2 linked regions of the Macaca mulatta genome follow. The protein of the gene in region 2 interacts with the protein of the main gene of each other region in a biochemical or structural test. Links are inferred from orthologs where the notes say so. Each region holds a gene or a part of one and is shown on either strand. Other genes may lie near its edges.

The links. The genes of interacting proteins can lie anywhere in the genome.
Region 1: the proteins of AGO2 (region 2) and DICER1 form a complex in vitro, tested with the Homo sapiens proteins (2 studies listed by BioGRID and IntAct). The link is inferred for Macaca mulatta from reciprocal best matches to the Homo sapiens genes AGO2 and DICER1.

The regions. Positions count from the first base shown.
Region 1 is NC_133412.1:168,447,353-168,451,096, forward strand, and holds the start of DICER1 (endoribonuclease Dicer), read right to left. Parts: upstream 2,314-3,744; 5' UTR 2,175-2,313; exon of another isoform or gene 2,014-2,174; intron 1-2,013. UniProt on the Homo sapiens protein: Double-stranded RNA (dsRNA) endoribonuclease playing a central role in short dsRNA-mediated post-transcriptional gene silencing.
Region 2 is NC_133413.1:150,960,048-150,963,759, forward strand, and holds the start of AGO2 (protein argonaute-2), read right to left. Parts: upstream 2,817-3,712; 5' UTR 2,649-2,816; coding exon 2,627-2,648; exon of another isoform or gene 2,576-2,626; intron 1-2,575.

The DNA.
Region 1 (3,744 bases), on a different chromosome or scaffold from region 2:
TCACAGTAAGGATTAGAAGAGAATGTATGTAGAACCTGAAACATCTTGGCACATAACAAGGAAGCACTCAATAACATGTTTCCCTTATCTCCTTTGCCATGAGCAAGTGGAAATGTGACCACGACAAGGTAGGGTCGCAAGTGAAAGAATGTCTACGAAATACCTACCTTCTCAAATGAAACAAGCTCCTCACATGTCAGATAGTGGTAGAGAATAAAACATCGCAACGCCACAAGTCACCCTCTATAGAAGGTAGCACTACAAGTACTGTACAACCCACTATGTGACACCACAAAATCACCGTCAAATAAGAATCATGAGCCACATCAAAAGAAAATGTCTTCTAAAACCAAGACAATAAAGCTCAATAATAGCAAAACCACCCTGTTACCCAACTCACACACTGAGCCAGCAGCAAAATACAGCAGTCAGGGCTCACCCTTCAAACATGAGATGGAAGCACAAAAAGTAAAGCAGGCCCTCACTAAAAAGGATTGTAGGAAAATGTCTTTTCTCCCCACATAAAAATGGACTAACTGTTCTTTTCTTAAAACAGCATTTTGGTGCCATGAGTAAATCTATAAACATATGTTACCATGATCAATGTTTACAGTGACCATGTTAAAAGCAATCTTTAGTTTTTTGTTTTTTTAATCTATTGAGTTTTATGGAATATGCCCTAAAATGAAGTTTTGAATGTATATAGCACATATTACATATAATACACACGTGCCACAGGTAGCCTTAAAGTAGACTTTGCAAAATAAACCGGCTATTCCGGAACCTAATTCCCAAAGATATCAATAATATCGAAAATTACTATTCTTTAGGACCTGGCTTATCCCGAACCCATCTTTTAGTAAACTGAGTTTTTTGGTAAGGATGTATATTTTTATTTAGAAAACTTAACGCTTACACCAATACATTTTCAATATAGCTAACCTGTTTTAAAAGCACATTTTTAACAATATTTTCCGAGTTACTTAACTCCTAACCTGAGTCCTTTTCCACTGACTCAAGACAAGCACCACGAAGACACCTGACAATCAGGATTGTAAAGATTCAGAATATTCGAAGACAGAAGCATAGACGTCCAAGTGATCCTCGTTCATCAGATGAATGTTTTTAAAATCTGAAAGTCCTAAGAACACTTACTTATCGTGTAGACCAGTAACGTGTCCCTTTAACCACAACTCTCTCCACAAAAGCACTGAGTGAACACTACACACCAAGGACCCTCCACTCATCTCCACGTTTCCGCAGATCTTCAGGATTCTAAGGACACACTCAGTGGTTTGCTAGCTCTGACCTCCAGGCAGAGCCATCAGGGCGACTCAGCTTTTCTGGACAATCTACATAAATCTGATGTGCTAACTTAAAACATACTCTGATTTCCCCAAAATCAAAAACCCTGAAGAAAGGCTCCTCCGCAGGGTCTGGGCATGTTGGCACAAAAACATCTGAGGGGAGAGGAAAAAGAATGGCCTCGGCCCCGCCCGCCCCCCCCGGGCTCCGATCTGGTCCCCTGACAGTAATCACACAGGACCCTCCCGGGAGGGACCTAGAGCCCGACTTCGTCCCCTCCGAGCGCGGCGCAGCGGCCCCATCACAGGAGGGCCCCAGGGTGCTCCGGCTGGCAGGGCGCGTGTCTCCACCTCCGCTGTTCCTGCGCCACTTTCGCGCGCGTGACGGGACCTGTCAAGAACCCCCTGGCCTCGCCAGGCCGGGGAGTGGGCAGGCGCCGGCGTCCCCCACCACGCCACGGAGGTCCGGAGAGTCTCCCAGGGCTGCCTCGCGCTGAGGCGCCGGGGTTGGCAGACACCGGGTCCACAGGCCGCGCTGCGCGGGACGACGAGGCAAGCGAGGCCGCGCCCTCCACCAGCACCCGCCAGGCCCGGACGCGCGGCCCGGGCCCATGGCCGGCACGCGGGCCTCAGCGCGGAGGCGGGAGCGCGGCTGGGCTTGCCGCTCCCGGCCCCGGACACAAAGCTGCTCCGCGGGAGCCCGCCTCACCTGCAGCACGGGGCGCCGCGGGCCTTCGAGAACCATCGGACCCCGCTCCGGCGCGCGCGTCACAGCCCAGGCCTCCCGGAGCCGCCCGGCGCCGCCGCCCCCGCCGCCATTTCCTCGCGCTAGCCGTTGCCTCGTCCCCGCTGTCAGGTTACTCCATTCACCTGGGCCTGCAGCAGCCTGCGCCGCGCCTCCGCCTCGACCCCTCCCGCCGGCCCCTGCGGAGACTGCGCAGCGCCCGGCTGGCCCGCAGCCTGCGCACGGCCCGCGGCAACGGCGCACAGCCGCTTGGAGAATCCCACTGGCGCCCGCGCCGCCCCTCCGCGCCCCCACGCTCCGCTCGCCCCGTGGCGGCATGAGAGCGAGCCTGTGATTGGACAGGGCCCAGCGGTGAAAGGTTAATCCCGGCCCCCCAGCCATTCAGGAGCAGGGAGACAGCGGGTGTGCGCGCCGAGGCCGAGGCGGTGTTTGCGGCCCAGTGCCGAGACTGGACCCTAGTGGCGTGGAGTCTTTGGGGCCCTCGGGAACCCGCGGGCCGAGGCCGGCTAAGTTTGGCTGACTATCTCAGCTCTCGGAATTCGACTGCCTCCATTGTTGCCCCTTCTGGCACCCACAGACCGTAACGTGGCCGTAATTGTTCCCCAGAGAGCCTAGCTTCTCTCTGAGCACCTCCCTCCCCTTTTTAAAGTACCTTCCCACTCGCCTGCGTTTCCCCGCGTTAGTGGTGCAGGGGCCTTCGCATTTGGGGAAATAACAAACACCCACTTCCGCCCCCCCACCCCAACTGGGATCCCCAGATAATGAGAAATAGACGGTGGCCCTCTGTATGTACACTGATCATTTGCATAGGTCGGAACCACCCACCACATCTCGTAGCTAGGAGTTAAAATATCGGTGGGAGTTACATAAGTGACTGGCTTAAAGAACATTGTCTTAATTTATCCCCCAAATGTAGACATCTGTTCGGTGGACTCCCTGATAGGCCGGTTTGCTCCAGGTGAGGTGTGCTCACAGCAACTGCAACCGTGTTGCTTTCAGCCCATGGGCGTGAGCAGAACCTACTCTGCGCCGGTGCTGCCTGGGCTGTGCTGTTCAGTTTGGGGCCACCAGCCCCGCATGGCTCCTGAGCACTTAAAGTATGGCTAGTCCGAATCGAGGTGTATGCGTTCTTTACCAAATAATGTTCAAAAAATTGTTACATGTTGAAGTGATAAACGTTTTTTGATATATTGAGATCAATATATCAAAATATATAAAAATATCAGTTTTATTTATTTTTTAGTGTGGGTCCTACAGAATTTTAAATGTCATCTGTGGCCTGCATTATATTGCCATTGGACAGGCTGATATAGGGCTTGCATGCCTGTGATCCTCACGTGCACTCTGTAAGGTAGGTGCTTTAACTGTGTGCACATTGTGAGACAGGTGCTGAAACTGCTTCCTTTTTTTTTTTTTTTTTCTTTTGAGACAGAGTCTCGCTCTGTCGCCAGGCTGGAGTGCAGTGGCAGGACCTGGGCTCACTGCAATGGGCTCACTGCAATCTCCGCCTCCCAGATTCAAGTGATTCTCCTGCGTAAGGCTCCTGAGTAGCTAGTATTACAGGGGCCTGTCACCACACCCAGCTAATTTTTGTTATTTTTAGTAGAGACGGGGTTTCATCATGTTGGCCAGGATGGTCTGGATCTCTTGACCTCGTGATCGGTCTGCCTTGGCCTCCCGAAGTACTGGGATTAG
Region 2 (3,712 bases):
AAGTTGCCTAATAAGGGTGTTACAATTGGAAGTAGCAAAACTATTTGTAATTTTTCTTTTCTTTTTTTTTTTTCTTGAGACAGAGTCTCACTTTGTCTCCAGGCTGGAGTGCAGTGGCGCCCTCTTGGCTCACTGCAACCTCTGCCTCAAGAGTTCAAGCGATTCTCCTGCCTCAGCCTCCCCAGTAGCTGGGACTACAGGCGCGCACCACCGCGCCCGGCTAATTTTTGTATTTTTAGTAGAGACAGGGTTTTCATCGTGTTGGCCAGGATGGTCTCAATCTCTTGACCTCGTGATCCACCCGCCTTGGCCTCTCAATGTAATTTTTCTATAATTCAAATGGAATGTCTTATAATTCTAAATTAGAAAATATAAGATTAAAAAGAGTCTCAACGAAGACTATTCCAAAAATTCCTTTTACACAAAATTAAAAGCCTTAATGTGTAGCATAAAATTGAACTGCACCACAGACTTATAATTACAGCACGTTTATACAACCTGAAACTTGGGTTCATTCCCATCCTGCCATTAGCTATGAATTATCCTGCAGACACATTTATTCTTTCAACCACTGTCCTGTTCCAGAGGGTCCGCTCCCTACCAGGCCCACACCACAGCAACAATCTCCAAACAGCAGCGAGTGACAGAAACAAGCCTGCGGATCCTGAGGGCCAAGGTACACTGACAAATGAAATCGACAAGCCAGCGTCCCAGGGCAGAGCACACAGTAAAGAACAGCAGTGAGCTGGGGTTGCTTCCTGAAGCCTCACTGTCAATGACAAGTAGGCGGGCAGGTGCTGGTCCAGTCCAGCCCTAACAGACACTTCTTGCTGTGGGTCTGGGTTATAGGGCCTGAAAGGCACTGCCCTGAGGAAGGCACCCAGAGAACCAGCTCGGAAGTCCGACTGATGGTCCCAACACTCACTCACTGCTGCGTGACCTTGGTGAAGTTCTCAGCTTCTCTGAGCCCTGACTGTCTGTCTTCACAAACACCAGCAACCTCCGCAAGCGGAGCGAATTAACTAACACGCAAAACACAACACGGAAAGCTTGACCTTCCTCAAGGCTCTTCACTTTTTCTGGGCCTCCAACTTTTAAAACTGATAACCTGAACAAATGTGCTGTCAGTCCCGTGTGTGCTGTGTTCCTCTATAGGAAGGAGCTGGAAGGTCCCAACTCACACAAGGGGATGCCCGGTCCCTTCCCACGAGGGCGCCTGGCCACTCAGGGCCTCCAGAGGCCAGCATCTGCTCCAGGACTGTGGCCCTCCCAGGTGTAGGGGGAAAATCATTCTTCAAACTGCTGATAGCCCTCATGGCTTGAAAAGTTGGTCAGACTCCGCCTTGTTGAAGCTTTCTAAATGACATCAGAAAAAAGACGCGACATTCGCAAGGCACAGAGCCAACAGCCTCAGCAGTGGGGGCCCCCATCAACGGACCCAGGTGGGCCAGGGGGCCTCCCGGGCCGCACAAGTTGGGGCCGGTCTGCAGCAGCGAGGGCAGCATCGGGAATGCGAGCCTCCTCACCGGCCGGGTAAACATAAGCCCCGAGCCTGGCGAGGCTGCGGCCCGACTGGGGCCCAGCGGACAAAGGGGAGCAGGCGGTGCCCCGTCCCAGCGGCCAGGCCGGCCGGGAGAGCCAGGAGCCACGTGCCTGGTGGGAGCACGCCAAAAGCAGTACAACACTTGACCGTTTTCTCGGCCCAGCAAGGAAACCGCCTTCTACTCTGCATTTAAAAAGAAAAACAATGCGTTACTGCTTTAAGTTTTTTAGAACTTTTCCAGAGAAAGGCCGACTAGCAACAAGGGGTGCTACAGGAATCCACCTCGCCTCACCTCTCCTAGGAAATTGTAAAAGGAATTAGCACTTGAATGGGGAGGCCGGCGTGTCTGGAATGAGAACGAGCCGCGCACGCAGTTTGAGGGTTCCGGGGAGCCGCGTCCTCCCCCTTCCAGGCGGCAGTCCTAACTACAGGAATTGGCCAAAATTCAGCATTTCCAGACTTTCCTTGGGAAAAGGGGCCGAAGAAGTGCTGGCGGCAAGAATCTTGGACCACAGCGGAGCGCGCCTCAGACTCGCGGCGGCTGGGGTCGGGACCGGCGCAGCCCCCTCCCCTCCCGGCCGTGCGCGCCCCGAGCCGGGCGCCCCGAGCCGGCCTCCACCCCCTCGGGCGCTTAGGGCCGGGCCAGGCCGGGCTGCGGCGCCCCCATCCCCGCGCGGGCAGCGAGGCCGGGCCAAGCGGGGCGCTCCGGGCCTCGGGCCTACACGCGCCGGCAGCCTCGGCCCCGGCCCCAGCCCGCCGGGCCCCGGGCGGGGGATGCGGACGCTGGGACGCGGGCCCGAGGCGCGGGAGGGGCCCAGGCCGCGCGGGGCGCCCCGACGACTCGCGGGGGCCGAGGAGGCCGGGGCTGCGCGTCCAACGCGGCGCCGAGAAAACGGCCGGCCCGGCCCCGCCGCCGCCGCTCCCCGAGCCCCCAAGCCCGGCCCCGGCTCGCCCGCCCCCGGCCCCCGCCGCCCCGACCCCGCGGCCCCCCGATCCCCGGCCCCCGCCGCCCGCGCCGGGCCCGCCAACCACGGGCAGGAGCGCGCGAACGGCCGGGCGGGCGCCCCGAGCGCGAGGACTCACCGGGGCCGGCTCCCGAGTACATGGTGGCGCCGCCGAGGGGCTCCGGGGCCGAGGGGCGGCCGCGCGCGCGCCACGGGCCCCGACGCCGCGAGCCGCGAGGGAGCCGCCGGCCGCACGATCCGCCCCGGCGCGGCCGCCTCTCCAAACAGGTTTACCCGACGCGGCCGGGGCGGCGGGCGGAGGCGGCGGCGGGAGCGGGAGCGGGAGGGCGGGGGAGGAAGGAGGAGGGGGAGGGGAGGCGCGGCCGGCGGCGGGAGCGCGCTCGCGGGGGGAGCGGGGCTGGGCGCGCGGGCGGGGGCGGCGGCGGCGGCGGCGCCGGGTCTGGCGGGGCCTGGGGCGGGGACCCGGGGAGGGGCCTGGGGACCTGGCCGGGCGGTGGGAAGCGCGGGCGGGAGCGGGGACGAGGGCCGAGGGCGGCGCGGCCCGGGTGGCGCGGGGGCGGGCGCGGCCCCGGGGACCCTTCCCCGCCGCCCGGAGAAGCCGCGTCTTCCCGACGGGGAGGAGCCGGGCCCCCTGGCTGTGCCGCCGGAGCGGGGTCGCCCACGCGCCCTCGCCTTCCCCGCCGCCCCCGGGGGCAGGAACCCTCCCCCGCGAGCCCCTCGGCCCCCAGCCTGGCTCTTTAAGTTACTACAGAAACACGGAGGTCGGGAAGCTGCCTCCCAGCCCGGAGCTTGAACTTGAACGCGGCCGGCCGCTCGCGCAGGACCACACCGCCACCTCCCGGCGCGGCCCCAGAACCCAGCTAATCCGTTTACAGCAGTTAGAAAGTCCAAGAAGTTTTTAGTGCATTGTAGCTGGTATCAGGGATCAGATCAGCGGACATGCCCATTCCAGCAGTCGGGGCCTCCTCGGAACGTCGTGCGCCTCCGAGCGTTTCTGTGCCGTCCCGCTGGGTCCGTCTGGTTTTTCGGCGGCTTTCCTGGAAAAGCCAGCCTGTGGTTACCTCCTTTCTCCCCTGAGTGGCGGGGGATTAGAAGGCAGAGGGTGACCCACAGTCTACAGTGACTGGTCGCCTTTTTCCAGATTTCCCGGCACATTCCTTCACCCCGTGGCATCGGCTGTCTGCATATTGGGTGCAAGGCCCTG